Styela clava: one gene and its partners. The protein of the gene in region 3 binds, or shares a complex with, the protein of the main gene of each other region. Links are inferred from orthologs where the notes say so. Each region holds a gene or a part of one and is shown on either strand. Other genes may lie near its edges.

What was found.
Region 1: frataxin, mitochondrial-like (region 3) and cysteine desulfurase-like share a complex: the UniProt entries of both Drosophila melanogaster proteins name them as parts of the mitochondrial core iron-sulfur cluster (ISC) assembly complex. The link is inferred for Styela clava from reciprocal best matches to the Drosophila melanogaster genes fh and Nfs1.
Region 2: frataxin, mitochondrial-like (region 3) and LYR motif-containing protein 4-like share a complex: the UniProt entries of both Drosophila melanogaster proteins name them as parts of the mitochondrial core iron-sulfur cluster (ISC) assembly complex. The link is inferred for Styela clava from reciprocal best matches to the Drosophila melanogaster genes fh and bcn92.

What each region holds. Positions count from the first base shown.
Region 1 is NC_135251.1:29,314,295-29,325,966, reverse strand, and holds the start of cysteine desulfurase-like, read right to left. Parts: upstream 5,820-11,672; 5' UTR 5,663-5,819; coding exon 5,661-5,662; intron 4,633-5,660; coding exon 4,458-4,632; intron 3,858-4,457; coding exon 3,705-3,857; intron 3,392-3,704; coding exon 3,309-3,391; intron 3,069-3,308; coding exon 2,960-3,068; intron 1,916-2,959; coding exon 1,748-1,915; intron 1,308-1,747; coding exon 1,149-1,307; intron 721-1,148; coding exon 531-720; intron 157-530; coding exon 1-156. UniProt on the Drosophila melanogaster protein: Catalyzes the removal of elemental sulfur from cysteine to produce alanine. It supplies the inorganic sulfur for iron-sulfur (Fe-S) clusters.
Region 2 is NC_135255.1:1,693,904-1,705,069, reverse strand, and holds LYR motif-containing protein 4-like, read left to right. Parts: upstream 1-6,044; 5' UTR 6,045-6,206; coding exon 6,207-6,283; intron 6,284-6,929; coding exon 6,930-7,050; intron 7,051-7,526; coding exon 7,527-7,583; 3' UTR 7,584-7,864; downstream 7,865-11,166. Other genes in the region: uncharacterized protein LOC120331577, read right to left, coding at 7,866-7,888, 7,963-8,058, 8,232-8,309, 8,725-8,805, 9,242-9,272. UniProt on the Drosophila melanogaster protein: Stabilizing factor of the core iron-sulfur cluster (ISC) assembly complex that regulates the stability and cysteine desulfurase activity of Nfs1 and participates in the [2Fe-2S] clusters assembly on the scaffolding protein IscU.
Region 3 is NC_135262.1:2,039,563-2,048,743, forward strand, and holds frataxin, mitochondrial-like, read left to right. Parts: upstream 1-5,517; coding exon 5,518-5,973; downstream 5,974-9,181. Other genes in the region: uncharacterized protein LOC120332896, read left to right, coding at 7,271-7,447. UniProt on the Drosophila melanogaster protein: Promotes the biosynthesis of heme as well as the assembly and repair of iron-sulfur clusters by delivering Fe(2+) to proteins involved in these pathways.

The DNA of each region.
Region 1 (11,672 bases), on a different chromosome or scaffold from region 3:
AATGTGCAAGATCATCATCTGCACCAATTGCACGTAAAACGTAGGAAGGTTCGAGAGATGCAGATGTACAAGCACTTCCTGATGACAACGCAACATCCTTTAAAGCCATCAACAAACTCTCACCTTCTACATAAGCGAAAGAGAGGTTCAGGCATCCTGAAAAAAATAGAAATTTTATTATGATTAGGATAGAATTTCATAGGGAAAGAGTGAATCAGCAGATTAATAGCAAGATGTGCCAACATCTTATAACAATGCATCAGTGCCACTGTGCCAATAGTCATAATTGAGTCAACAATAGTCAACAATTGAGAAAATAATATTTAATTGGAATATATAAGAAAATAATATGTTTGTCAGGCAGCATCTAAACTGTGATGAATTTTGCAAAATATACCGTTAGCCTTGGTTGAAGAACCAATCTAACAAAGCAATCACAGCTGGTAATTGAAATAACAGCAAAATAAAAGTTAACGAAGAGAAATCCAACGAACCTTATTTGAAAGTGATCATTTAAAACAATTTGATACCTGGATAAGTTTGGTTAACATCCCCATTCCGTATCACATGTGATAATTTTTCTCGTATTCTTGATTCTAATCTATGTGACAAATAACTTATTCTTTCATGGTCATATGTCATTTCTTCTTGACATAATGCACATGCTGCACCGAAACCTATGATTAGAGGTGTTGGCACAGTACCACTTCTAACTCCTCTCTGTAAAACAAAGTTTATTCAATCATGTGTAAACGGTATTTTGATGTTACTGCTTTAAAGTGTTATGGGACTTGCATAAAGCTGTGAACTGTCTGTCATATTTAGCTGTTGAGTTGCTAAAATGCCAAAAATTCAATTCAAAGTCCTATTTTATGAAAATTAAAAGTTTGTTGTTTCATCCATAAGAACTTGATGTTTAATAAACTATAAAATGTTGACATGTGTTGGGAGTTTGGCATGTTTCAATATTGATATTAGAGTCGTATTTTCAAACTCACTCCTTGAGTTGGGGGTCGAAATTTAAAATAACCCAGACCCCATGGTTCAGATATAACCATTGGCTCCCAAGTATTGCTACCCTTAACATTACCAATTGGCCAAAAATGATCCTCGAAATAACAATACGTTATTGTTAAATGTATACACACCTCTTGGCCACCACCACTTTGAAGAGGTTCCACTCGGACACGAGGTCTACGCCGTAAAAACAATCCGCCAACACCTTTCGGCCCATAAATTTTATGTCCACTTATTGACATTAAATCTATTTTCATTTCATTCACATCAATGGGAATTTTACCGACGGCCTAAAAATAAAACTATAATAAAGCTCGATTTTTAACTACTTTTCTACAAAAAATCATAAGATTAATGAATTATAATAATATTTGCTGAGGGACATATTTCAACAGTGTAACAATTCTATAGCAAAAAGTGGACTATCAATAATAATTAGCTTAGGTCTTATTAAACAGTAAGAAATTATCAGATTATCTCCACTTTGTCAATATTTATGACCTTGTCAGCTGGCTTGAATCCTGTGATAAGTGATTTCTGTCCATGATTACTAGAACTCATTGAAACCAGTGTTTTTCCTTTAATAAGGAAAATATGTAATGTAAATCATATCCAGAGTTTCGACATTTGAATCACTGAATTTTACAGGTCATATTCCAAAACTGAACAATAAATTAAACTTATCAACATTGAAGAAGAATATGATTACTTATTTAAATACGAAAAAAACCTGTGCAGCATCTGTGTGGAAAAACACTTTTCTTTCTCGACACATATTTCCTATCTCTTCAACTGGTTGCCGTACACCAATTTCATTATTTACCATAATAACCGAGACTAGAGATGTATCGGGACGAAACGAACTCTCCAAGACATTTAAATCAATAATCCCATTTTCCTGTATTTATTTAACAAGTTTAACCAGAATATCATATATAACATTGGTTCAACTTTAAAAACGGCTAAACAAAATGTTGAAGCTTGATTTAACTTCATCAACATTGCCTATTATTAAATTTATATGGACAATGATGTATGTACAACTATAAAAATCAACTTGTGAATGTACAATCTTACATAGCAAGGCTATTCAGCTGTTAATACCGAATATGTGTGCACATACCTAAAAAAATTACTAGCTTATAGTTCCTAACATTTTTTAAAAAACTTCACAAACAAAACTTCAAATGCATTATTTAACGAAATACTTCAACATTATTGATTGACCATTAGCGGGAATTATTACATATCCCTTTTTTGCCAAGTTTTCAAAAATTGATTCTAAGGAAATGACAGCAAGGTAGAGGCATTTCACTCACTACTAAGTAATATTGAAATGAAAACAATTTAGCGTCTTTCACATGGCCTTAATAAAGTTATTGCAGACACGTCTTTTGTTGTTAATCATACAGACTATGAGAGCATCTTATGCGCTAGTTAGTGAATCAGCTGCAAGGTTAACAGCAAAAAAAATCGTGGAAAACTGAGTAACTTATCCAACTTTAACACACAGTTCTCTGGCAAGTGATTATTCCCAATAAAGACAGAAAGGATAAAAGGAAATTTTTTTTTCGAAAACTATTAAAGATTTTTTTAGCAAGGGGAAACTTAAGAAATCACCCATCTCAAATTTATAGAGCCAATGAATTGAATCGAACACCCAAAAGTTGATTTAACAGTCTTAGAAGATGTGCAAGATCATTAAAGTATTGCAAATTCTGTGATAAACAAACCCAATTCTGGAATATTCCATATTCTGAGCTACTATTCAAAGTGTATTTGAAATAGCAAATTATTTCATTTACTAAGCTCTCAGAAAGTAAACAACCAGCTTACCAGCTATATTCTAATAATTCTTAGTGCTTTGCAATATAATGAATGCACAAATGGTCAGATGGAGCCATATTGAACTCCCAATATATATATCTTAGAAGAGACAAACCTGCACAGGTAAATAAGTAACTTCAATGCCTTCACTTTCCATAGATCGACATGAATCTAACACACATTTATGTTCAATTTGGGTTGTTATGATGTGACGTTTTTTACTCCTGAATACAAAAATAATTGAAGAAATGGCGTTACAAAAGAAATGTATTCAATTGAGTTAGCATATAAGGGAAGGCTTTTTTGTTATAATAATAGACTACACAGTTGAATACAGTACTCAATTATAATTTGCTGATAAAGTTAAGCATTTTCAACTTGTGGAATCGCTATACAACGAATACAAATTATTAAAATATCTATTTAAAGCTGGCTGAAATTTCACATTAAATAAGTCTACTTACTTATAAAATCGCCCAACTCCTTTTACAGCAATATTATTGCATTCAGTTGCTCCACTTGTAAATATAATTTCACGTGGATCAGCCTATGTAAATATATAACATAGTGAAATTATAACCAATTTTGGTTTATTCAATTCAATTGATCTTCTAAAAACACTTGTTAACACTTGAGATGGTATCTTTGAAGATTTTCCAGCATTCAAGAACAAATGGAATTATATTGACAAACCTTGCCCTTGCGCGTCATCAGACATGTCAATATTTTAAATCTGCGTTGGAATTACCCTGGCTAATTTGCACATCTACCTTTTCCCAAAATTTATTTTAGCATAACTATGCAGGTACTGCCTGGTGTAATATTAAAACAGGAATTTAAGAATGTTAAAACAATGTTACATTTATCAAACTTGCAACTTGTTTTCGAGCGTCTTCAACAGCATCTTCCGCCTGCCATCCATATGCATGTGTACGACTATGTGGATTTCCATAGTAACTTACAAAATATGGAAGCATTGAATCCAGCACTCTTGGATCCATTGGTGCGGTGGCCTTGTAAAAAGTTAAATATATAATATGCAGGTAAGTTCAGAAGAAATAATTATACATTCAAAATCCTATCCCATAAAAAAAATCCTGATAATAGGAACGACGCGGGATATTCTCCTTGCAGAATTTTATGTTTTCTGTATGTGCTTAGCATGGATTATATTAGGATAATATTGTTTTCCCAGTCGATAGCTAATCAAATTGGAAAAACAATTGGAAAATAAAATTTACAAAATTCATGCAAATTCAAAACTTATCTTTGAGATATAGCAATCTTACCATCAAACATTACACAACTGAGCACAACATTTTTAGTGTCAAGAATTCAAATATATTTTTTCAAATAATCAATTCTGTTCAACCTCATTTAAAAAGGTAATATTTCAACAAATCAAAGTTAAAGTCACAATTCCTACACAATGAATGGCCTGTTCTAGCCATGAGAAAAGTAGCAACTATTTGCATGCTAACATACAACATTTACATATTCACTGGATAAATTACCTTTGACTAAAATTGACTTCCCTTTCCTCTGTAGGCTAAACATGAAAAGCTAAAGTAAATATAATATTTCTGGTATGGCAATCATTATAGTTGTGTTACCTGAACATCCAAATAAACAGGACGAAAGCCAGGTTGCCATTCTCCATGGCCTTTTTCAATTGTAGCTTGAGCAATTGATTTCCTTTCTTGAGTGATATGAGAGGAAGATGATGAATATCGAGTAAAAAGTGGGTACTTGTTTGTCAAACTGACGGATTTGCGCAACAATGAGTGCCTGTGAACAAATTAACGAAGTTAGGGAAAAGAGTGGTCAGTAAAAACTTAGGCAGGGGTGATTTAGCCCTACATTATTCAGTTCTTTGCCTCTCACCCCAACATATCCTCTTTTTCATTGCATTTAATTTTTTAAACCCAAATTTGAACACATAATCGTATATGATGGGATTTGATACAGGCTGTTTTTGTCTGAGTTTGGCATGTTTTAAAAACTCACTTTGAAATCTGTTTTTAATGACGACAATATAAGTGAAAATTCCTAACAAACTCGAAAAAAAAAGATTGAAGCTAGAGTCATGATGGCCAAGGGGAAGTTTCACAATATTTTTCAAATCACTTGTAACATCTATAGCAGACATAGGCAAAATCCGGCCCGGTGGGTAATTCAATCTGACCCGCCTGATGCTGCCACAACCAAACTGAAATTTTGATGTTTTAGTTACAAATAGCTCAAGGAATTTGTTGAGATTGCGGTTAAATTTAGTTTCGGCACGAGGTTTATTGTTTTCCACTGTTGCTTTTGTAACACTGCAAACATTGTTCATAAAATGTAGTCTGACTCTTTACTTCATACTTACATGGCCCGACAGTCAAGGTGGGCAAAATTTTTGGCCCCTGATTCAAGAACCATGCCCACCCATGATCTATAGACTAGATTTTGCAATTATTACCGGCAAATAAAGTTGATAGGGTAGATAAATATGATCTCAAATTACTGTTGTTGAAAAGTCAGCTTTTAACTAAACAATGCTTTGTTCCCATTACTAAACTTATGTTCCACTAGATCGAATTGAGTAACTGCTTGGGAATATCAATATGATTTAATACAAAGTAGAATACAAATAAATAACCACTGCAAAAACGATAAAGCAATGCTCAAATATCAGAATACCAGCAAAATTCCAGACAAATGTTACGGTATGCATAATAATAGCTATACCTATATACAGGATAGCCTATATGACCATTTCAGTACTACTGAACTATAATTAATACTTCTTTGTAACTCTATCAGTCTATACTTACATGATACTGGACTTTTTTACACACAATTCCAATATATTAAAGTTTGAAATTCCAAAAAAATTGCTTAGTATTCGATTTGGTCTACCTGAACATTATTCACTATTCAGTAGTTAGTATTAGAAGCTTAAAAACTGCAAAAGTAAACCCTTAATAATTAAAGAATAATCACAAAACTATGATGTGCTATATTTACATCTGCTACGTATCACAACACAAAGACAGAAAGCTCAGAAGATGCTCTTTTTGACCACTGTTCTCCCTAAATTAAATTAGTTGAGTTGATTCAACTAAAGAATCACTTAGGATAGGATTTACATATGTATCCCCGGGGAGAAGAAAGTCGATAAGACGGCTTAATCATATGGCAAACTAAGACCTCTCATCCGGTTAAGGTACCAGTCAATGTCGGGAATCTGATATGGGATCAAATGGTCCACACCGGTACCGTATCTTATGCCATCATATTTTTTTCATTGCAGCATTGTTTGCATTAGGTACCGTACCGTACCGGTACCTAAAGACTGAAAGACAGATATCTGGATATCGTAGCAGGATAGCCCCATGTGCTGAATTTTTTTCTCGTCAACATGGTCTATTTACATTTGCGAATTTGACTTTCAATTTCTTTCACCCAATTCCCTGCTTTAAAGGACCATTCAAGATTTATAAAGTCTTAGATTAAATTATGTTGCTCAGACACTGATACAAGATACAGGCAGCTCTGCGGCAGCTGACTCTGAGCATGTTAGGCTGTTTGACTGAGAATACTACGCGCTGTGTGTTTCGGTATTTACTGTTGGATTTGTATTGCGTAATATCAATATGATTAAAGCCAATCTACCGGGAAGAAGTTTATGGATAAAATTTTTTTTTTAGATTGAATTTAAAGTTAAATGAACCTTTCCCCGATCATCGACTTCCTTGTTTACTTCGTGACATTGGCCAATCAGCAAGAAGCAAAAAGTGACGTAACAATGCTCCCCTTTCGCATCCGCTCAGACACTTTTCTCACTCAGACAGATTTTCAAGCGTGGTCGTATAAACATTACCTCGTTTTCGCGTTTTTGAAATCTATTCGTTAGTCTTCAGTTGTGTTTCGGAAACTTAAATATGAATCAGATAATTCAATGATCACTCTGTCTTCCTATGAGTGTTAATTTAATTGCAGTAATAAAAAATTAGTGTAGAAATAGCTGTGATAGACTAGGCTAAAAAAATTTACCGATACTTTTAAAAAACAGATTGTTGTATGCGATGAATCATAGGGATGGTTTAAAACACATACCCCATTTTACAGGTGCCAACTCGCAAAAGCACTCTTAGAATAACCGCGAAAATTTTGCAATAGTAAAGTATAGGAAGAATTTTTTGGGGGTTAAAGGTCGGGGAAAGGTCCATGGTGGTCGATCTGTTACGGGTGTTCTGCGAGGTTTCGATCCTTTACCAAGGTCAGACGAAACGCTACAGAAATAAATTTGTGTTAGTGTGCAGCAAGACTCTTGAATCACTTAGGATAGTTATTACTTATCGATCTTTAGATCGGGTCTTTGTGACATAAAACACCATACCACTGTATATTCGTTCCTTATTCTAAGATCTTTGTTCCTAAATCTTGAAAAAAGAATACAAATTCATTTAAATAACTTTTCATGGATATGAATGGGCCCCCATATGTAGTCACCCCTTCTTCACTCGATTCCGACCTCGAGTCATGAGGGCCGTTTGGACAGGGTGCTACGATGAAACTATTTCAAATAGGGAATAATTGAAACTCGATTTTTACTCAAATAATGGCGTACAAGTATCTAAATTCAACAACAATCGGTAAAAATTATCAGTCAACGGCAAAGTCGGTGCATTTTTGAGGGTTTCCCATTGGCTCAATTTGACGTAGATTCGCCACTGCTCAAAAGTACTTTTTTGTTTAGTTAATTTCAATTTCTTGTTTAAATTAATTTTACTGAATTTTTTTGTTAAGGAAAAAAGGGGTGAAATGAAGTAAAACAGTGTTATAATGTGAAGAAACAAAAATACACGTAAAAAGTGCGTTCTGAAAATGAAATAAAATTTTTTTTTCTTTAGTTGTATGCTAGTTTTACTCAATTTGTAGCAATTAACCCAAATATGCCAATATTGAAGCAAAGTAGAGTGGAAATAATTTGGGAAGCGTGCATACACCCGCACACATAGTGTGTGTAAGAATAAATTGTATATTTCATGAACATCTGACCCTGTTAAACTGCTTTCGATCTTCCACAAATTGTTTTTATATAATGCATTGTTGTTTGGAAATTTACTAAAACACAATATTGATATCGTAGAAATCATTGATATTATTTTCTTCAGCGCTTTTTGCTAGTATTGTGATGTAGAGGGTATTTATTAAGTCCTGACACAATTTCAAAATTTTGTTTTGTTCTAGTATATATTGAAATGCACAGGATTTTTATCAAATTAATCTTAAAAATAAACAGAATTACATTGGAGAAGCAACAAGCCAAAAGCATACCCTTCCACAAACAGAATTAGATAGGATTGACAGTCCATTTGTTACACTTTTATTAGTAAACAATGACGGAACTCAATAATAACTGAAATGAAATAAAGAACAAGAGTTAACATTAAATCACACACTGCACAGTCTACATAAATATTCACTATCTCCCCCCAAGTCTTTTGTGCGCCGTTTCCTAGGAGTAGCAGGGTATGAAAGACTGAGTATATGCAGTAAAATGATCATATTTCTGAGGGATTTAAGTCATGACATAGTCTTTTTGCCATCTAGGAGCATTTCGAGCACGATTCGAACGTCGGGGCATCCATTCAGGTGACGTGTCAACATCTATGTCAGCGTCCGTAGGCCATGAAGGATATTCCACTCCTGCTTTTGTCGGCGGGCTGTTAGGATTTGTGACTTCAGCTTGTGTTTTGTGATCGTTGGCTTCGATCGGTTCGTCGTGTTCCCCCGATGGTGTGACGTCGTTCCCCAAAGGCTCTTTTCTCGTGTATTGTCTTTGAGCAGGTGGGAGCTTACAAAGGATGTCGTTGTCGATGACGCGTCGTGGTTGAGGTCCAATAACGGGTGTGTATTTACGCAGAAATTTTCTGTTGCGAAGTGTCACTCTTCCGGATCCGTCGACTTTTACGGCGTATTGATCAAATGGTCTAACTTCAATTATCAGTCCCGTTTTGTCCCATTTTTTCGGTTCTGGGCCGATCTGATTTTGAATCCTTACGCGATCTCCGATGACTAGTGGAGGGAGCCTTTTCGTGTGTTCCGACCATCTTTCTGCCGATCTCATATGCCGGTTACGAAGAGCTTCCTCTCTGGCTGCCAAAGTTTCACGCCAAGTGTTGTGCGGTTTATGTCTTCCGGGAAGAATAGGGATGAAGTCTTTGATTGCGCGCCCGAACACGCACATTGCTGGTGACATTTTGGTGTCCGGGTCCGGTGCGTTTCGGTATTGCAGGATGGCCCGCTGAAAGGAGTCTGTGTCCAGTTCGCCGTTAGGCCCAGTGTTGTTGCAAATAAGTCGTTTAACAGTTTTTACTCCGACTTCTGCACGGCAGTTACTGTGTGGGAATGCCACCGATGATGTACGCCCCATTCTCTCAAAAACTTCTGTGTTGCAGCGGAGGTGATCTCAGGTCCTCCGTCAGAAGCCAGTTCATCTGCAATACCAAATGTCACGAATGTTCTTCGTAGGCTGCTGATAAGTCCTGTCGCACCACCAGACGTCCTTTCGACTATTGGCCAATTGGAGTAACGATCAACGATAACTAAGTAATTGACACCTTTGTAGTGAAAAAAATCGGCACAAATGCATTGAAACGGATAAGATGGTGTATATGGAGATGTAGGCGGAGCGCATGGCTGTGATGGAGCCATGCGATTGCATTCTCGGCATTTGTTGCGTGTTGTTAAGATCGCTGCTGTAATTCCTGGCCAGAACACGGATGCTTCTGCCCTTGAGGTCATTGATGAAACTCCTTGGTGTCCGGCGTGAAGGGCACGTAGAACGTCTCCGCGTAACGTGGGGGGGATGACGATTCGATCTTTGTAAATTATCACCCCGTCCACAGTGTAGAGGTCGTTCCTGAATCTGTAATACTCTCGTAGCGGTGTTGGAAGTTCAGTTCGCTTATCTGGCATTCCCGACTCAATTATTTCGACTAATTTGTTCATGTGATCGTCGCTGGCAGTGGCCAACTTTACCTTTTCCCTTGTGACAGTTTGCAGAGCAACAATTGATGAAGCTGCTGCCTCCATGATTGAGGTCTCAAAAGTGCTCTTGTGATTCACGGTAGTGCGAACTTTCTCCATTAAGGTTGATGAAAAAATCGTAGAAAGCTGAGAGGTTTCGTTCACAATCAATGCAATGTCGTCTGTAAGATGCATCATCTCAGGTTGCCCTGTGGGGTGTCGAGAACAGCCGTCAGCAGCTCGGTGTTTTACGCCTGGAATGTGGATCATGCGGAACTTGTATCTTAGGGTCTTTTCCTTGAGATTACGGAGACGTGTATTTGATATTTTGTCGAGTGACCTGTCGCCGAAATTTTTTAACAGCGGTTTGTGGTCTACGGCAATCACAAGGTCATCACAGCCCAATACGAAGTATCTAGCTTTGTCCAAGGCATCGACTACTGCAAGAGCTTCTCCCTCGACTGGGGCGTAGCGTGATTCTGCACTATGAGTGAATCGACTGCCGACTGAAGTTGTTTTCCATCCACTGGGACAGCAAAACGGCTTTGAGTTTATACAGGAGCAATGCTTCTGAAAAAGCCAATACCCGATGCCGTTCTTCGACCAGTCGGTGGCGAGGCATGTTGGCTTCGTTTTGTCGAAAATCTTTACCCCTTCTTCGATCTCTTTTGCTATGGTAGTTTTTGACTCCTCAAATATACTGTTCAGGTCGTTGTCCCAAATGAATCTTGATCCGGGTTTCAACAGTTCGCGGAATGGCAGCATGCGTTTCGCCATGCTGAATGCGTAAGACACTTGGTGAACGAGTCCAAACCATGAACGGATATCGGTGATGTTCTGCGGAGTTGGGAAGTTAATGATGGCGTTTAGAAATCTCGAGCAGGGTCTTACGCTGTCCATTGTTATTTCAAACCCAGCGAATTCTACGGTATCTTCGGCAAACACGAACTTTTCCGGATTAAGTGTGATGCCATGTCTTCCACAAATATCCAGCCATTTGGCGGCTTGAAGAAAGCTTTCTTCTATGCTGTCGGACCAAAGGAGGGTGTCGTCAATGCATTTTGTTTTATTGGGAACGTCAGCCACAATTTCATCAAATCTACGCGAGTATCCGTCCCCTGAATCAATGTAGCCTTGTGGTGCAGTGCGGTATCGGCCCCAGGGTGTGATGAAGGTAGTCAGTTGCCGGTCTTCCTCTCGTATAGGTACACTGTGATACCCGTTCCACGCATCAAACACGGTCTTCTTTTTGCCGTTTGGGACTGAGCGTGCTTGATGGAATGGTGACTGCGTGTGGTGGGTCTCCCTGGTGGCGTAGGCGTTCAAGGGTTGCAGATCCACTGTGCCACGTGGTCTCCCATTCTTTTTTGCACAGACTACCATTCGGTGACACCAAGTGACTGGATCGCCAATAGGAACTGTTTCTATCACGCCAAGTCTGACATCCTGGTCGAGTCCAGCCTTCACTTCGTCCTGCCAGTGCAATGGGACCGGTACAGGGGTGTGATGAGCAACTGGGTCGGCGTCTGATTTGATCATCAGTTTCATTGGCGGCCCTTCCATCATGGGCAAAGGCTGGTGTTCACACGTATTAAACGTGCTGGCTCGGTAGTGTTCAATGAGAAAGTTCTTAAACTGTGCGAGGTTGTTTGATGTGGCTGGAAATGGGAGTTTGGTGGGCAACGTAGGAGGTAGTTGGCGGCGAGGACAATCACATTGCTTTTGTATCTGGGCGCTTGTGTGTTTTGCTTCCCTGTTGCTATTTGCGACGGATTTGTCCAGTGAAGCCGCGCCAGACGCACAATAGA
Region 2 (11,166 bases), on a different chromosome or scaffold from region 3:
AAGTCTTGTACACACGCAACATCACATCCTTATCCCTACTTATTATACTGCGTAATAACCATGCTATTTGTCCTTTTGCATGTGCAACAATTGTATTCATGTGAGTGGAAAACTTCAAATTCGTATTGATAGTAACTCCTAGGTCACATTCACTGTTCTCTCCGGTTAGGACTCCATCCAAAAAGGGATAGTCATTCCCAGGGTTCGATTTCCCTAAATGCAGAATCTTACACTTCTGCAGATTGAAAGAAAGTTTCCAATCTTCCTGCCAAGATTCCAATGCTTTTAAATCTTGCAAGATATCATGACTAGGGTTTGTAATTAGTTTCAGATCATCAGCAAAAAGTTCTGCATGTGACACAAGCTCTCCTGGTAAATCATTCACATAAATCAGGAACAGCAGGAGTCCTAAAACCGACCCCTGTGGAACACCTGATGTTACTGCTTTTGACTCCGGAAAGAAATTGCCCACCTTTACTTTCATTGTTCTACCTGTGAGAAAATCTCGGACTATCTCTATTGTATCATTGTCCAGGGCATAACTTTCCATTTTAACAAGAAGTCTATAGTGTGAGACCTGATCAAATGCTTTTTTTAAATCGAAATAGAAAACATCGTTACAGTTTGTCTCATCGAGAATCTCCAGTATACTGTCCATGCTCTCAAGTAGATTTGAAAGGCAGGATTTTCTACTCACAAATCCATGTTGGAACTGGGTTACTTTGCTATGAACTTCCTTTATAATGTATTCTCTCAGTATATTTTCATATACTTTACACAGCACACAAGTAAGTGATACCGGTCGATAGTTTCCAGCTACCTGTTTTGAGCCCTTTTTATGCAGTGGGATGACAATCGCATTCTTCCAAATTTGGGGGAATTGTCTTACCTTTATACATTGATTAAATAGAACAGTGACAGCTTCAATGCAACCAACATTTTTTTCAAGGAGTTTCCACAATTTGGGAGAGATATTGTCAGGTCCAAAAGCTTTATTTGCATTTAAAGAGTTCAGCAATTTTGAGACTGTATTGAAACTAGCATATAAGTGACTGTTTATGTCTGAGTTGACATTTGCAGTAAAGATTTTGTCTAAGTTTTAATAATTTGCTCCTTTAAGAGGTCCATACCTTTCTAAGTTAAAGACAGATTCAAAGAATTTTGCCAGAATATCCGCAGTTTTAGCCGCAGATGTTGACAGCATGCCTTTACTATCCCTCACTGCACAGACAGGAGTTTATAATTTAGACTTTGACCTGATATAGCCATAGAAGGGCTTGCAATTCGTTTTCATGTTTTTTGTTATCCTTTTTTCATGCTCAAGCTTCGCTTGGTAGACCGCAGATGCCATTTCCTCCTGTTTCTTCAGCATGACATGATAATTTGTTCTGGTAGGATGTTTATGAAACATTTTGAAAGCTTTACATTTTTCCTTCCTCTTTCTTTCAAGCTTTGATGAGTCCCAAGGTGTTTTGACTAATTCATTTCCATGTCTGTCTAATGTAACTCTTTTCAAAGGAATTTTGTTTATGATTTTCTCTTACAACTCCCCCCACATTTCTTCTAAGGAACTGTAACTCCAATCAATGTTCTGTGAGTATTCGTCCACCAACAATAGAGACAACTTAGATGAATCCTGTTTGGTAGTGCATAAATAAGACTTTGTCACCCCCATATTCAAAGTTATGACCAGAGATAGATGGTCGCTTTTGCCCAGTGCTGCAGTTTTGTTCACTTCCAGCACCAACGCAGAATTTGTACTAAATACCTGGTCAAGTTGCGATTCTTGCATGCAATTTCCAACTAACCTCCTCCGAGTAACCTCATTTTTGATGAACCATGAATACCCCAGTTGTATCAAGTTTTCCATAAATACATTCTGAGCAACAATTTTCTGATTACCTGTTTCAAACACAGAGCTACCAACGTTCTAGTCAATATCAGGCAGATTTACATCACCCACAATAAGGATATCCTCGTCTGCTGATGCTTGAGTCAGTCTGACCAGCTCATATAGGATGTTTTCATTACCTTCATCATCTAGTGAAGGTGCACGATACAAACAAACCAATACAAATTTGACAGACCTCAGAGATACGTAAACAGTTACACTTTCAAGTGATTTGAAGAACTGTGCTCTCTCAGCATTAAGTCCCGAGTGGACGTAGATCAGAGATCCACCTCCTTTCCCACTGAGAGTTTCCCTGTCTTCACGGAATAAATTATAGCCATTGATGTGCAGCTCTGAATCAAGGAAATACTGATTTAGATGAGTTTCAGTTATGCATATTATGTCATATTTACACGCACTTATCAGAACCTTTAGTTCATTTAATTTGTTAGAAATTGAGTTTGCATTTGTGTAGTAAATTTTCATAGTCTTGATCTGTTCCAAGCTAGTTTTCATACATTCATCTCCACTAGACTTTTTTTTGCAATTTTCTCAGATTTTTTCTTCCTGTCTCTCTTTCCTTTCTTTGTTGGTATTGGACCTCACGCTCAGTTCTTGTTAGATCTTGGTTAATCCAAATGTCATCCTCTAGTTTCCTTCCCTTGCCAAACTTGTGGATATCAGATGCTTCCTCCTCATTTCTGAGAGTAACTAGTATGAGCCGTTTGTTTCTGTTTGCACTCTCTCCAGTCTCTTTCTTACCTATATGGTAGCAGCTCAAGATGATGGAGGACTGGAATCCAGAAATTTTACTCTTAATTTGTGAGTATACAATTTGCTTTATGTCCTCATTCCCAGTTTCCGCCAATCCAGAAATCACAATGTTGCGGCTTCTTTTTCTCTGTTCCATTATATTCGAGTCAATTCTTTTCATACTTTCTTGCAATGCAAGATCTGAAGTTTCTTTTACAGTCTGTTTAATAAGATTGACTTGGCTTCCCGAGTTTTGCTCCTTAAAGCAATCGGCAAAACTTTTGGTGGTTGCCGATGACCCCTCTCCTACAACAGTCTTAATGATGTCAGGAGGACTTTTTTTATTTCATCTTGCACTGCATCGCTTATATTTTTGCTCGATTTTGCAGGTGTCAACAATCCTAATGGTTCTACAACCCAACTTGGGCATCTATATTTTATTGATACAATCTTTTGTGATACCTTGTAAACCAGCACACTCCACATGCCACCACGATGTATTGCACTTCTTTGTACCACACTGTATCCACAGTGCACCATTCTTTTGCTTCTTACAAACACAAGATGATTCAGGCATACTTGAGATTAATTTAATTAATTAATTTAATCTTAATACAACCAAATACTCCAATTGGATTTCTTTCTGCGGGCAGTTGATAATAATTTTGAAATTACCGCAGAGATCGCAGCCATTGTTCTTATTAATGGCACGACTAGAGGCTTTGGTCTGTTGGGATCTGAGAAGAAAAAGATCAAGCGTCTTGGCTTGTTTTTGGCGAAACTTTCGAAAATAAGTACTGATGGCGCCCCATCAATGGTTGGGAAACAACAGTTTCATCGGTACAAAAATTGTGAAAGTTTGGTCTGCGGGTATTGTTTGTATTTTCCTTAACCTGTAGTCAGTGTAGCAAAACTAGAACATAATGCCATGTTAATAATGCCTTAAAAGCAATCATTGCCTTATTGAAATTAATTTTGATACAAGCGCCAAACAAGAGCCGATAACACGAACCATATGGCGAACCACGGCCTCCGATCCATGTCGAGTATGGGATCAGTTAGTTATTTGGTCGAAAATGGTCCAGCCCAGTAATTAGCAACCGGAATTCCTCGTTATGAACATTTGCTGTGATTGGCATATTTTATGATATAAAATTATACAAATTAAGAATCAAAGATCACACTGAACTGTAGAATAGTCTACTAAGTACTAGGTGCAAAGATGGGGTCTCGTGTAGTTTTGTACCTAACATACTTCTAGTGGGCGTAGCATAACAATTTGTTCACATGTTAATCCCAACCCCCACCTGACTACGCTATCCAAAAATTATGCCACAACGACATCACAATAACGTCATAGAGCTTCCCCATTGATATACACCTCAATGAGCCCTCAATATCCGTACGATCGCCCGGAATGGCACCTGCGCCAACAATAAGGACTTGACGAACGTCAGCGATCTCTCTCATATCGCGATCGTCGCGACGAGAAAACGAGAGAAATATCTGCTCGATTTCGGTTGCTCGTCTGCGCGTTTTGGATGATAGATGGCAGTGCCAGTGCGTAGAGCAGGGGTCGGCAACCCTTTGTCGCTCGCGGGCCAAAATTAACCCTTTCCATGCAATTTTTATTTTTTATTAAATAATCGTATTTGCTACGCCGACTTTATGCATTTGTACCCTCACAACTAATCGATCGACTAACGAAAAAGTAATGATCCTCTGCTGCCCACTGACGGCTCGTTGGAAAGCTTATTTAAAGAGCTTGCAATAGGCGATTAAAAAATTTTTTTTTTTCAAAAGGGGTGGTCTGAGTCACAAACCGGATAGAAAAAAGGCATTTTTTTTTGGGTGTTGAAACTTCAAACCGTAATAAAAAATAGAAATATTCGCTAAATCCTTTACTGTTACCGCTTCTTGGTTGGCAAACAATAGCATAATATTGCTGTAGCAAAAAACACCGAAATTTGCATAAATTTCAAAAACACTCCCTCATTCCACCGCAAATAAAATTTCCATGGTAAACGAAAGCGAGATTTACCGTCGCTTATGTTAATCTCGAAGAAGACTTCTTATCAATAAACTAAAACCCGGAAAAACTAGACCAACAGTTTGCGACCGATTGCTAAATAAAACAGTGGAGTACATCAACGTACCCGCCGCAATCTAGCGAGTTTTGTCGTGGGTACGTATACGTGCCCATCGCACGGAAAGGGTTAAGATTGCAAGTCATTGGCGGGCCGCACATATTTTTAGAAAGTTGAAAAATCGAACGGATGGTACTTTTTATAATAAAAATCAAGCAGTGATACATCTCTAGAATAGAATATAGATTTATTTCCTCATTGCATCTCATAAAATTCTATTTGAATATTTTCAGCGCCATTAAACCCCTTTGCACTTAGCATAAACTTTTCTGCGTTTTGTTGCCATTTGCTTAATTATAATTAAATTATATGCTCAATAAACGAGTAATTGTAAATTATATAATTGTTAGGTTATAATATAATTTAGTCTTAAAGAATATATTCTTCAAAACGGATGTTTTGTTACTATAATTTAGTGAAGCGTCGCGGGCCGGATCAGGCACGCAGGTTGCCGACCCCCGGAGAGTCTGAAGTGCTCTATTAGGTCGCTGTGGCGTGATTTTTGATGACGCAGAATTGACATATGCAGTATATGTTACGGTATGCTACGCCAACTAGAAGTACCTACTTTAGGTACGAAACGGGTCTACACTAGACTAGTTGTATTGTAATGTACCTTTATAGACCCGAGAGGGTAACAAGTGCTATAACATTACAGCAGTATAACCAGCGGCTTGCGCTCATTCACATGCACTCACACACTTTAAACTGTCATAGCTAGTCACAGCGAGTCTTCAGACAATTATTTTTGGCATGCAGACCTTTCGCTTAGCAGTCGAGTTTTTGTACTGTTTGTAGGTGTAGCCCTGTATTTGAACTTGTTATGTCTTTTTTTAATTTAAGCTGATGAGATATCAGTCTGGGTTCGTCTGTTGCTATTTAATTTCTATGCACAAACTTATAGCGTTGATAGGAACTGAGATAATTCTTAGTAATTTGGATTGAATGTTTCTGAAATTTTCATTTGGTGTTACTTAAAAAAATTATGAAATAATAAGTGTTCCACCACTTCATCGACTTCGTGCACTCAAATTATGGCAATTTGACTATGGCTGGTTACTAACTATATTCAATTTTGAAATCCCAATAAAAATATGAATATGGTGGGCAACTAGTAATATTTTTTTGTCAAGTTTTCTTTTTTGTTTGCTGAAAAATAACTATGTTTTAGATGAGTAAACATGTAGATGTAGGCAACCACTCATTTCTGCAACACCTTATAATCTACATTGTTTGTACATTCTCTTGATTTAATCAGTTTTATTTATTTGTTTTTTTCAATTATTATATGCCCTTTCGCTGATGATGGAGTAACTAACAGTTGAGTTACATATAGAGCAACCAGTACATACCAAGAGAAAATTTGTATAGTAGTTTAATGTTCAGATTTTCGTCACACCGGCATACTGTTTATTATGGCTAAAGGAAGAGCATTGCAACTTTATAAAGCATTGCTAAAAGAAAGCTCGAAGTTTTCGGACTATAATTTCAGGTTTGAATAAAAAACAATAGGCTTAATTTATAACATTTCCTATTTGACACTGACTGACTGAAGTTCAAGAGATATCATGCCATGCTAAAATGAAAGCGCTTTGGTTTTTGACATTATAAAATTGTATGAAATTTGACAAAACACAAGATCAACTTAGGTCATAATGAGTTTGAAAAATAGTAAGCTGTTGAATAGAGAAACGCCTCTGCCATCTGGGCAGAAACATATGATTGCTGTATTACAATGTCTGACCATGTGAACCACATTAGAATCCACTTGCCATTGCACCACACAAGTGGATTTGCAAGTTTGATTAGTACAACAATGTGCCAGCCGAAAGCCTTTGCTTAGCCCTGAGTGTATGGCTGATTCGCGTAACACACCACTTCTGTCTTAATGACAATATGCTGTTCTCTCGCAGACAACAGGCATCAGAGCTATTGTGCGATTATAAAGCAAGCAGTGCTTCTTAATCATTATTTTCTAGCATTTAAATCTTGAATTTTTTCTGAAGAGTTGAGTCAAAGCCCTTCTTATGTAAATTCCTGAAAAAAACTTATGAACTACTACATTATGAATGGCACAGAAGTGTGTCTGCTTTCATCTATCACACCAGTTTGCTATATATGTATTTTTTTATATCAAGGCATTACGCTATTACACGAACTAAGGATGCTTTCCGGGCAAACAAATCAGAGCCAGATCCTGTCAAAATCCAAGACTTTTTACACATAGCACAAAAGAATTTGGAAATGATTAAAAGACAAGTAAATCTCATTTATATTATTGCTCTGTGAGGCAGTGGTTGGCAAACTTTAGGTACTTACTACTGGGCCAAATATGCATATTGACGCTAGCATGCGGTCCACATTAATCTTTGCTGATAAACAATTGTCATTTATATTTCAAATTAAGATGCACCCACAGCATTCAAATTCCAAAATACGACCAACATGTGCCTCTTGCCCACACAAATTACTACCAGAACAAACACTGTGAAAAAGCCATTATTACATACATCTGTGCGCTGATAATAAACTTGTTGTTAAGAGGGCCACAGTTATGCCAACGCTGCTGTTTGGCAAGAGATCAATCAATCCAATGATGCCTTCAATTTGTGGTATATTGAAGAATATTAGATTTAAATACAGCTCAAGGTGCGAGATGATCATGTCTCCAGTTTAAACACCACGAAACATGTGATTACTATTTGACTCTAATTATAATGTGTTCTGTTTAACAGGTAACAATTGGTGAAATGTTCAGAGCAGAGAGACTTATTATTGATAACGATTCATAACTACAAGCAATGATATTTCCCACTCGAATATCAGAGCATTTTTACCTCCGTATAGTTTCTCCGATCCTCATACATTGTTGTGTTCACGAATATCAAGTCAATGAGCCCAGTAAATTATACATATTGCTGATTAATATTGTTGGGGGGGTGATTATAGTCTCTATCTGTGTAGCACGGGCATCCCACTTTTACTGTGATAATAATGCTACAGACTTATCAATCTTCATTTTATGTTTATTGAATTTTCAAACTTGAAATAATAAATAAAAGATGTAATATCATTCATTCCTCTGCTCTTTTCGGATCTGGAAAAAAGGCAATGCATTTGTGATTGAATACGCCATCAATTGCACTGTTTATTAGAAAATGCAATACTTACATGGATAGACATAGGATGTGCGGTAATTCTCAAAAATATACTGATTTCTTTCCTGTCTGTGCTTTGAGAATGGAAGGTATATGAACGCTAAAGGAACTGTCAAAATGATAGAACATGATTGATCAATTTGTAGTAAGCAACAAAATATATAAATGGATTCATGAGCAAATATTTTAGGAGTTAACTGATGCAATAACACAAATGCCTTCATTATGAGAAAACACTTCATAGAAAGAATCTAGCAATTGCATGCAATTAAGCGGACATACCAACGATAAAGAATCCTACAATTCCAACCACTCTCTCCCCATGTTCATATAAACTTTGGCGAATGAATTTTCCAATTTCTGGGAAAAAAATATGTTCGATAAGTTTCCGGGTAGAAATGAGTTAAGAACTAGGCACTTGTACATTTCAAAAACAGGTAAACAATGTTTTCCATTCGTTTAAATCCATTTAGAGTTAGGTTGAACACGAAACCAAACTAGCTCGATGTATAACAAATCAAAGGGGACTTGACATGATGCAGATTAGATCAGTTTTACGAGTAGATAACTAATTGACAAATAATTTCAGCATTTTGTAAAAATCAATTTATATGAGAATAACATATTTATCCCGGAGAGATGTACTTGTTAAAAAATCAAGATTACCCAAACAGGCTAGAATGGCACCTGTTACAAATGCACTGACCCACATCAAGAACCAATACCTGGTCATTGTGCAAGCATAAAACTTTTAATTGATACTAAAAAATCTCACCATGGGGTTTCGCAGGACCACCTTTAAATTTTGGTCTCACATAATCGGCACTGTGTCTTATGCCAGATTTCCGGATTAAACCTAAAATAGTATGGTTGATAACATGAGTAATATCCTGTAGCTGAGATGTCACTTAAGTTTGGAAGATGCCTCAAACAAGGAAATAATTGATCATATCAAAAAAGTATTTGCAAAAATGGTAAAACAAATTTTGTTAATTAGTAATACAAGCTTGCCCAGTAGTTTATAATAGCTAACTCATCGAAATTAAATATATAAATTTAGAACAAGGTTACACAGTTAAACACAACTGTGACTGTGTGAGGGGTGCTAGTAATTAGGTACCGGTACTGAAACAAGAGACAAACAGAAATCAAAGAAATTTGAAAGAGCAATGACAGTACTGCAGTATGACGGATGTAGTAAAAAAAACTCTTCAGTTTTCTCTTGTTACAGTGTCAGGTCAGTAGGGCAATGCAGTAATTAAATGCTAGTTAGACCATGACTCAATACATACCCCAAAGGTTTCTCCCACTGCTCAACGACATAACGCAGCAGAGACCTAAAATTTCACCTCAAAAACAAATTCAGAGCATTCAATAGGTTGACACTCGACAACCGGTCGTTGGTTACAAGCAACTATGCAGCCAGACTTCTGTATTTGAGCCTGAGCGGTCCGCAGAAAAACGATTCTACAGCCGGAATTTACGGTGTTCCCAGCGATGAAAAATCCGGAGTCCGTGTTAAAGCAATGACATCAAACAACATGATAGGCAACTCTGACGTCACTCCATAAGACTACAGGCAAAACATTGTATTTCATGATACGCTCCAATGCACATATTTCTCGTCGCCTTCCCCGTCCGTTTTCCGCTCGCTTTTGCTACTCGGCGTCTTTTTTACGTGTAGTACCTGCCTTTTTGCGCCTGTAACGAAACAAAATAATCTCTATATCTAAGAAGTTTTGCTTACTTGGAAAGCTGGAATAACAGACAAGCTGTAAAGAGCAATTCTGGACATCATAGACGTTTTTTTTTTATCAGAGAAGATTACAAACGCGATAGCGGAAAGATTTGTGTGGAACATTTTGCAGATAATGACAAAGTTCAAAGTTAGTAATTTTAATGTTTGCGCTTAATCATTGAAATTTCATTTAAAGAGGGTGTCATACAAAACTGTGCTGCGATACAATTCCATAACACAAAGTTTGCATCTATCGAACTTGCTTTTGTAGGTGAATTTATTAGACATATTACATATTCAGTTAATCGTAGGTAACATTGCTGGTACATAATGCATCGTAGATAGGTTTGTTTAAATTTAGGAATTTAGCTCATAGCCCACTAATTAATATTATCTTCTATGCAGGAGGTTGCAGGGCTGAATTCAACTTGCAGCCTTACCGATCACCTGACGATGCTCATTTAGTTTGGCTCGAGCAAGTCTTCTTGAAATGCTTGTGTGGATGGAAACCACCTATATTTTTTGCCTTCCTCCGATTTTAGACAAATTTATTCTGAGGGATTTCGCATATAATTCTCACTGATTGTTGGCTGTTTATAATTCCTATTGATTGTGAATTCTGATTATAACAATGAGTTGAAAATTTTTTTAACTAATTTACTGGCACCTTTTTCTTGTCAATACTCCAAGCTGAGGTAATAAACATGACAATACATTTATGTCATCTGGAAGCAAAATATGCACACTAATTAATAGTTTGGCACATTGAGATAATACATCATGACAGAAAATACAAGTTAAAGATATGTATGACCATCACATGGTAATTAAAAGTAAAAAAAAAATTAATAGGGGCTGTGGAGTATGGAAAGTTCAAGACAAAGAAAAGAACAAATGTTCATAGCTCATGAACTCTCAATTTTGCCTCCATTGCTTTGTGAAGGCCAATATATTTCGAGTGGCTGAATTGGTTTACCTTTATGATAGCAACGATTTTGTATTTAATATAGCGAGATTATTTCAATTTAATTGAAGTGATATAATTTCCCAAAGCAATGCTTGAATCGTCTAGAATAGATCAGTGGTGTCAAACTCATGGGTTTTCGACAGCCGCATTGCATTTTGAAAATTGTAAAAAGAGCCGCAAACAGTTTTTGATAATGTATACTTAAAAGATATTTTTAAGATAGTTTTAGTTTGTGACATATATTGTGATGCAACTAAACAGTTGGATTAAGTTTTATTATTTTCTTCAATTTCAAATTCAATTACATATTAATATTTGCATTCCACTATTATTGCAACATTTGCAAGTTACAGTATTTATTATAAAAAATCGTAAAATTCTATGTACAACCATCAAAATCATTTTTGAACAAGCTTTGAATAAGGAAAGAATAATACATACACTAAAAATAACTTAATCTAAATATATGAACCTAAAATTAACAAAAATACTACAGTATAAACTCAATGTTT
Region 3 (9,181 bases):
GGTACAGTATTTTTGCATATGAGATGGCAAATATGTATTTAGTGGTTCATCTACCTTGAAAACCCACCCTTCATTTTCAATATTTCTTTTTTATTAGAATTAGGTATTGCGTGTTGCAGTATAAACTGACTGCAGAAAATTATTTTACTTCAGTTTTGTAAAACCGTCCCAAATATATGTATGACAATTTATTCAGTCATATCTACCATTATTGGATATTTCCATTGTAGGCTAGATAAATAATTCGTTTAGTAGCAATAGATCTTCCTCTTGTTGTACTTTTTTGACTGTTAAATTACATTTTTCTACAAAATCTGCTCCAATTTTTTTGAAATTTTACAGTAAATAGCAACATCTGTTACTTGTTTTTTAAGTTCTAGACCCGCGGATCGTATGTTGTGCAGGCCTGCCATAAATAATGTGTTTATGGGACACAAGGTGCACCAGATTATGAGGCACCCTGGCAGACTGGCCACAAATTGCTTAAATTGGAGTTTTTATCCATACATAATGCGCATGGAATATATGGCGCAACCTGCTGACCTGTACTGGTTTTGAATAAAATAATACTTGATCCGAATACCGTATTAGACGCGCCGGCTTACTGGCTTATTACAGTATTACAATGCACACAATAGATTCTGACAGAAAAAGTATTTGAGCGCTTCAAATACTTTTTTTGTTCGAAACTGTCCACAAAATATTGTAGAATACTCTTAGGTTTGTAGGTCATTTGTAAAATTCCAAACTTTCACTTTTTGTCATTTCTGAATTCTTTACTGCTTTAATAAAGTAATATCATCAATACAGGCTATTTCAGGCTAAGTAAAAAGATGTCTAACTTATACCCTACCTAACTAATGCTAGATTCATAGGTATAAAAAAATTAAGTAGGTTTTAGTGGCCTAAATTGAACAATTGAAACTGGTACTGCTGTACTGTAATTACAGAATAATCGGACCCGAGTTTCCTACAACAGGACAGACACCACGCTAAACACACGTTAACGATGACCGCACCGCAGAAAGAGAATCAACTAATGCATGTTTTAAAGATTAATTCAACTTCAAACAAATCTTAAAAACACGCTTACGTTGTATCTGAATAGAAAATAGGCCAAACCGCAGCGTGACAATCTGGTAAACAAAGCACAAAGCATTGCAATGTAAACAGCTGTTGAAGAGAAAAGTCCGGTTTCCTCGACTTGCATTCATGCGTGAATTTTTGGCAATATGGTCGGAAACGAAAGGCGCGTTGTTATGAATCTTGGATGACATCTCCCGGATTAGAGTTTTTAAAGTTATCAAAGCAAAGGAAGATTGTTAAAAGTCGGCTTAATCCAGCTTAATCGTATCGCTGTCACGTTCTATCGTGTGTTCATGGGGTAAGGGTATAAGTTTATTTCGATCTCCCCTAAAAAAATACACGAAACAAACAATAAACACATAAAACATAAGAATGAACACACAGAAAAATTGGGGAAATCGGGACAACAGGCAAAATCTTTAGTAAAGTTTAAAACACGCAGAAATGCATGTGCCTGTTCACCCATTTCACGCACACAAACATATTACAAAATAAAAACATGAACATATATCGTATAGGGTATTGGTATATGTGGAAATTGTTTATTGGTGATATTTATGCCCATAATGGCATAATCATATTAATAGCATCAATCAGGGTTGGATTAACCATCAAGAGCCCCCTGACAGGTCAAACATGCTACCCTATTGAAGGCACTAAATATGAAATGCAGTAAATCGCGCGCGCGATGTATCTCTCTTTTTTTTTCTTCAGTTTTTTTTATAAATAAAACAATATTGTAATAAATGTATCTCTCTATTCATTCTGAAACTACATCGAGGCCGCACGCCACCTTTCTTCGGATTTTGATGAAATATAAGCTAATCAGTGTAAAGTGGAATATGGTCAATCAATTTTCTATTCTACTAAAATAAATGCATATCAGTAATTTTTGGGATTCTATTGCAGATCTTGGGATTGTTTTAACAATGATCTTGAATAGAACCAGTCGACTGCTATAAAGCGGAATCAATGTTGCCATAACAGATCAAATTTGACGATTTACCAAGATCGAAAAAATCTCAATCAAAATTAAATATAATCGATAGTTCATCATGCTTGTTTGTTTCTGCAGGAGAGGGTGGCCCGTGGTTTGGCCCAGGACATGCCTTTCGATTGCGCTAAGCACTTATGATTTTGGTTCCTTAGATATAAAATATAATAATTATGAACTCGTGTTTTATGTTATCTGACACTAGAATAAGTAAGTTTCTGTGTTCATTAGTAATTTGGGGCCAAGTTACGATTAATTTACATGATTTATTTTGAACAGTTCTCATATTTACAAACATCGATAGAGATATTTTAGAATAGATGATACTTGATAGTTTTATTTCAACCGGGCCAATATTGAGGTCTGTGTCGACTGACAAACTCGATTGTACCAACTTGTATGTATATATGTTTATTCGTCTCGTAAAAACAAAATAAAAAAGTTAGTAATTATAAATACTGAAGACGGGATGTATGCACAGGACCATACTGGCCTGAATCACACGAATGTGCGCATTCAACCCTTTCGAGTTGTTTCATTAAACACAGAGGCATCATTGAAAAATCTTCTATGCAAATTTATGTGGTGCTCCCTTTCCCCTGGGGCTCTAAGCACGAGCTTATATATATTGCTTATAACAAGGTTTATGGCGTTTTTCATTTTATTTTCAGCTTGTATGATACCGTTTCAATCAGTAAAAGAGCATATAGCCGCACTAATTTCAACATTTTTTCGTGAGATGTTTTATAAATTTAGAAACAGCAAACCAGGGTTAAAGCGAGAGCTATACAAAGGATCAAATTGATGAACCGTTTTCCAGTCTTAGTATTTCTCTACTGGCAGTCAGAAATTTGGCTTGTGGATTCACTCCTCAAATTATCTCACGCATCTTGTCGCCGATGATTGCATAATTTCGCATTTCTTTGAAAAAAGAATGAACAAAATGAACAAAAATTAAAAACGGGATATCATATTATCTTCTTGAATATCCACACATTCAAGAATTGGAACAGCGCACACGATAGTCTCAGTTGAATGCCTTTCACTCAGGCATAAATACACCAGGCTTCGAATCAACGCGGTATGTTCAATGCAATTTTTTCGAAATAATTAGCATCGTCGAGGGCTGCCAAGCGTGACGCTGGTAATTAAGTGATGTTTTGATCACTGAACTGGAAATACATGCCGCAGCGCGAGACAATTTGATCGCCGCCATCTTGGCATTTATACTTCCAAAGTTTCTTCGTGTGGTATCTGGTTTTGGCCAGTTTTTCGTCTATTTCAGTACCCAGTGCGCCACATCGCAAGGGGGCCCCAAGCGGTTAGAATTTAGAAATTTAAGCCGCAAAGCCAAAAGCTGCATTGCAAAACCAGGAATGCACATCTAATTATAATGTTGATTTTAGTTTTGCTCAAATCGTATTGTTACGTAACAATGCCGGAGTCGTCGATTTTCGGCGTCGTGAGGTTTGATCGTACCAGCACAATTACGAAAGCTGTCAGAATGATGTCGAAAGCAAAACCTCTCAGTGGCGCACAGAAACGAAGAAAATTTTTAGGTTACCATAATCTTTATATAGCGACATGTTGTGCTTTTTGACGAAATAAAAAAACGTTGTTTAAGCTTATGTCCGAGAGTTTTCAGGGTCATTTCAACAAAATATTTTTGCGGGGTTGGCCCACGAGAGTCTTGCTACGCCACTGGCCGTAACTTTATTCCGACTTTCCTTATTCTAGTTCTATTACGAGTTCGCGGATTTGTGTGTGTGTTAGCCAAGTGAGTATATCCTGTGCCCATGGGTTTCTGTCCCTTTATACAACTTCGTGTAGAGTAGGCGAACAATATTAGTTACCTCCATATTGGTACACGCACTTACGGGGCGCTCTTTAGTTCTATTTATATGTACAGCTCGGGTACTACGGCAAGCAGCAGGGCTAGTCAAGAAAGAAAAAAACGAACCCAAAAAATTGTAAAAACTAGCGCAGTCACAAAAAACAAAAGATAAGAAAGGAGAAAAATGTGTAAAAAAAAAATAATAACTACCGACGACAACTGCTCAAGCAAGCCCAGATAAAAGAGTAAAAAAGTGAACCAAGCAGGGCCAGTCATTAAAAAAAACAGGTGCTCCCGAAGTATGCGAACCAAGATGGCGGACATCGGAACGTAACATGGGTAACAGGTTAGGGTTAGGCGATAATTTTTTTCCAATTTTCCTTATTTTAGTCCTATTATCAGTTCGAAGACTAGCCAAGAGCCTCCCGTAATATTTATACCTAAAATTATGGCCTAACCCTAACCTAGTACACATATTACATTCCGATGTCCGCCATCTTGGTTCGCATACTTCGGGAGCCTTAAAAAACAAGTAAAAAAAACTTACTGATACTTACACACACAGAATAAAACAAGAAAAAAAATGCATTTTAGGGTGGAAGGAGACGCGATAAACAAAAAATGTCCCCCCCCCCAAGCATCTATTTTCTTAGCAAAAAGTCAACGATGATATAACAATGGTAATTTTCATAATCGCTCAGATATGCCTTTCTTCGCTCTAACAAAATATTCAAGCATAGTTGTAAACAATCGGTGTGTGTTTTCAAAATCTAATAAATCAAAAAATAATTTAATTGTCACTATGTCCTCACAAGAAGAACTTTACTTTGGTTTTAATAATCAGAAATCACAATCGCTCAGATATGCCTTTCTTCGCTCTAACAAAATATTCAAGCATAGTTGTAAACAATCGGTTTGTGTTTTCAAAATCTAGTGAATTAAAAAATAATTTAATTGTCACTATGTCCTCACAAGAAGAACTTTACTTTGGTTTCATTAATAAGAAATTAGTTCCGACCGAAAAAGCTGCCGCCCATGCAGTTTTTTCCCGGTGCAATGGCATGCGTGTTTCAAGCGCTTGAATAGCGTAGATGGAAATAAATTTTAGTCTCATCTGGAACCAACACGCCACCATATAAAAATCATATATACTTTGCATTCTACATTGTCGAGTTTTCGGGGAAAACTGATAGGCAATTCTGTAACCCTTGACTGGTTACAGTCCGTGACCGGTCATCAGAAAACTCTTTAGTCGAAAGAAGGTAAATTGCGGCAGTTTTTTACCTGCAACATTCAAGATTTCCAGTTTTAACGCTTCAGTAAAGTATTATTGTGAATAAATTTTTTCGCAAATCGATAATCGACGTAACAAAAAAACGTGATCATTGTAAACAACAAAAAATACGTCATATTGACATCTCGTGACGCTCCAATGCGCACAGTTCCTCATTATGAGTCTACTTTAGGATTTTATGTAAATGTGGGGCATAGAAAAGTCAAAATGTTGGCTAGGTTTGCTGTTAGTGGAGTCAATAGAATAAATTTCGGTCAACGGTGTTTTTCATGTACGAGATTGAAGTCGCAAAACCAAAATATACGGCAAATGGAAACAGTTTTGGTAAAAGCAAATCAGACCAGTCAACATTCACAAATCGGACAATTTTTGTCTCAAAATTGTCGCTATTTCTCGCAAGAAAAACTGGTCTCTTTGAATGATTATGAAAGAATAAGCGAAGAAACTCTGGATCAACTTTCGGAATACTTTGAAAACGTTTTTGAAGACATTGAAAATGATGAATTGGACATTAATTATAGCAGTGGAGTTATGACTATGAACTTAGGCAAGAAAAAGGGGACTTATGTTATAAATAAGCAGTCACCTAATAGGCAAATATGGCTTTCATCACCGACTTCAGGGCCGAAACGTTATGATTTTATTAACGGACAATGGATTTATTCTCATGACGGGTCAAATTTATATGACCTTTTACAAAATGAACTGTCTGCTGCTCTCAATATTCCAATTGATTTATCTTGCATGAATTATCATGGTAAATGATACTAGTTTAAGTTATAAGACTATGTATATTTTGCAGTATGCTCTTTCTTTCATGTAAAATGATACAGGTACTCTTACAGTCAGCGAGTCAGGGAGGATACAGTTCTCCGATACCAAGATGTCTCAACATTTGGTTCAATAAAACGAACACTCTATTTGTCTTTGAAATGAGGGAGTATGACATGATAGCAGATGCGAGAGATTGCGCTCTTCTTGTTTTGATAATATTTTGAATCAATCAAGACATGTGTTGGCCATCACCAAAATTGCATTTTTTTGCTAAAATCTCTTGAATGCTGTTTTTTTTCCCTTTGGTAAATCTGATTATTTTCTTCCGAAAAATCCAATGTTGGCGTTTTCAGATGGCGCTTGCTTTTAGTTTATTACACAGTACCAGTTGGCGATGTTAAGTCGATATGGAGACCCAGACTGGCTCGTTAGGAAGGGGTTTGTTCTCACTGTTTTAATTGATGTCTTTTCATGTGGGGACTATTCTTGGAATCAGAGAACTGTGTCCTACTGTAGTCTATATGGTTATATCTGTAGTAACAGGAGACCTCAATACAGAAGTATTCTGTGCCAACCAGTACGATTGGACCATGTGGACGGTAGAAAATGAAATGTTGTGTTTTTCTATGATTAAGTCATATTTACTGACGTTTACTCTAATGCCCTTTCATTGTATAGACTTTTGTCACTTTCATGCAATGTTTTAACAGTTATGTTTTCTATTGCCTGTGTTTGACTTTTCACAATTTCTCCAAATACTTTCTTTAGTAACAAATATTTTAATATAAATCATCTATACTGCAAAGGCAAAAATTTTTTTTTTAGCTCGCTATTCTTTGCACTGTGGCACATTGTGCTAAGCGTTAGGAATACGCTCGCATCTGCACCTATGATTACCCTTTGTGTGTTCGAATCCTAAGGAGAATAATTATGTGCAAAGGATTGCTGGCATTTACAAATTAGATCTTTATCAATTGACAAAGATTCTTTCAACTCAATTTGTTGCATCTGACAAAGTATACCCCTCTTTAAAATGTTAAAGTATTATTCTGTATCAAACATAGCAATTTTTCGTAGCTTGAAACATTTTGTAAACCCTCAAGACGCTTGTAAACCCACCCAACCACTCTCCGGACCCGCTAGCTGTTACAGCCCAACTTAGAAATTTCAGAATGCCCCGCCCCTCATTGAAAATTCCTAGCGACGTCCCTGCTGTAGTCTAGAGACTTCAACGGTATTTTTCATTTGCTGTCAACTTATAAATCTTGTTTTACAGATTTGCCTAAAAATGTCATTTTTCACTAAGAAACTAAAACCTCATCCTCCCCAACAGCCAGTCCCTTATAATGAAAGTAGGAACAATGATTTGGAAGAAGATGGCTTCGTTCTTGTAGGAGAAACAGAAGATGAAAGAAATGCGATAACTCCTGACAGAAGAGACCAAGATTTGCCTCCAATGTATCAGGTAAATACTAGATCCTCTAATTCAGTGGTCCCCAAATTTTTTGTTCGAGCGGTACCGAATTATCAGGGTAAAAGCTCATGATGCACTTATAAGAATGAGAGCCAAAACAAGCTTTCCAATAATAGCTGAAACATAGCACGGCATTTTTGTGAGTGTGAGTGTCAAAAATCGCACAGGACCAGGGTTGTCCAAAACGAATCGAATATTCGAATGTATTCGAATATCAAGGTATTCGAATACCTTTTCGGCTGATTTTCGAATAATTCTGAATAGTAGCCACTTTTCGCCGTAAACGTGGTGTTTCGTTTTACGGGAATCTTTAAACGACTTTTTACGCTGTCTCACGTAATGACGATGAAATAAAATTGGCACTTTGATTGTTTATATTCTGTGCGACCGTACGTCGCATAGTGTTGCGACACATTTGCACGTTTGCGTGGGTGGACATTGCCGACATTCGTGTACGCGGCTTTTAATTTACAAATTCATTTCCATTACGTCGAAAAATTGAGAAAGTATGTTTCTTTTATTTCTATGTGGCCTGCTTATTATTCGCATGAGTCTTCTCAAGCATGATTTGTGTAACCTTATATTTGGGTCTTAGGGTCTGCCAATCATGATATTTAATCGCATGCTGGTTATCGTTACTTTAAAGAGAAACACGGCCACCAAGATAAAGTGATTTGTGACCCTTTCGTTTTGCTGATTCAGCATAACACAACAGGGACAGGAAAACACAGCTGTGAAATAACCCGTGGACGTACAGTGTAGTACTTATCACATTCCAAAATTATTTCAACATTCGGGTTAATAGGTTGTCCAAAATGATTGCCGCTTTACAACTTAAATTTACCGCTCAATTGTTAAAAATAGTTAATTCTGTGAGTATGATTCTACCAAACTAACATGATCTGGTTCTAAACATATAAAATTATTAGCGAATTTTTCTACCCGTCTTATTGGAGGCCTATATGGAAAAACCCCTTTTTTGAGTGCTAAAAATAGACATCGTCCTATTTGCCATGTGGACTTATTAGCCGGGGAAATACGGTATTTATAGCCGTAATTGTTACGATATCCAATAAATTGTCACAAGTTGGAAAAACAAGTCGATTTATTAGAAAATAATTTCTGGCAAATAATTCTGATAACGATAGTTAAAAGTATCGATCCTTTACAGGATGATTTTTTGTTGCGCAAAATAATCCAATCCATGACTGGTACCAGCATTTAAAATGTCATGCCGTATTAATTTAATTCTGTTCAACGTAACTCATGGTTGTATCGACAATCTGTGGACATAAAATGTGTAGTAAACTGACCGATATTATTAAATATTGATTCCTATTTTTATATTGATAAAATAATGAAAGTATTAATGCCAAATACAACGGGTATTTGTGGACATGAAATACGTGGTAAACTGCCCAATTATAATTAATTTCGGATTCGTGTTTACAAAATAATAAAACTAATAATTCTAAAATGCAACGGCGATCTGTGGCCTTCAAATGTGTGGTGAACTGCCCGATTTACCAACATTTGAGTTATGATAATAGAATTAAATTAACACGGTAAGGCATTTTAAGTAGTGGTATCGGTCATGGATTCGAATATTTTGCGCAGCACAAAATCATCCTAGTAAAAAGTCCATACTTTAAATACAAACCAATGGCAACCATTATACAAATTAGTTCCCAAGAGCGGGATAAAATATAAATTCTTTTTCCGACT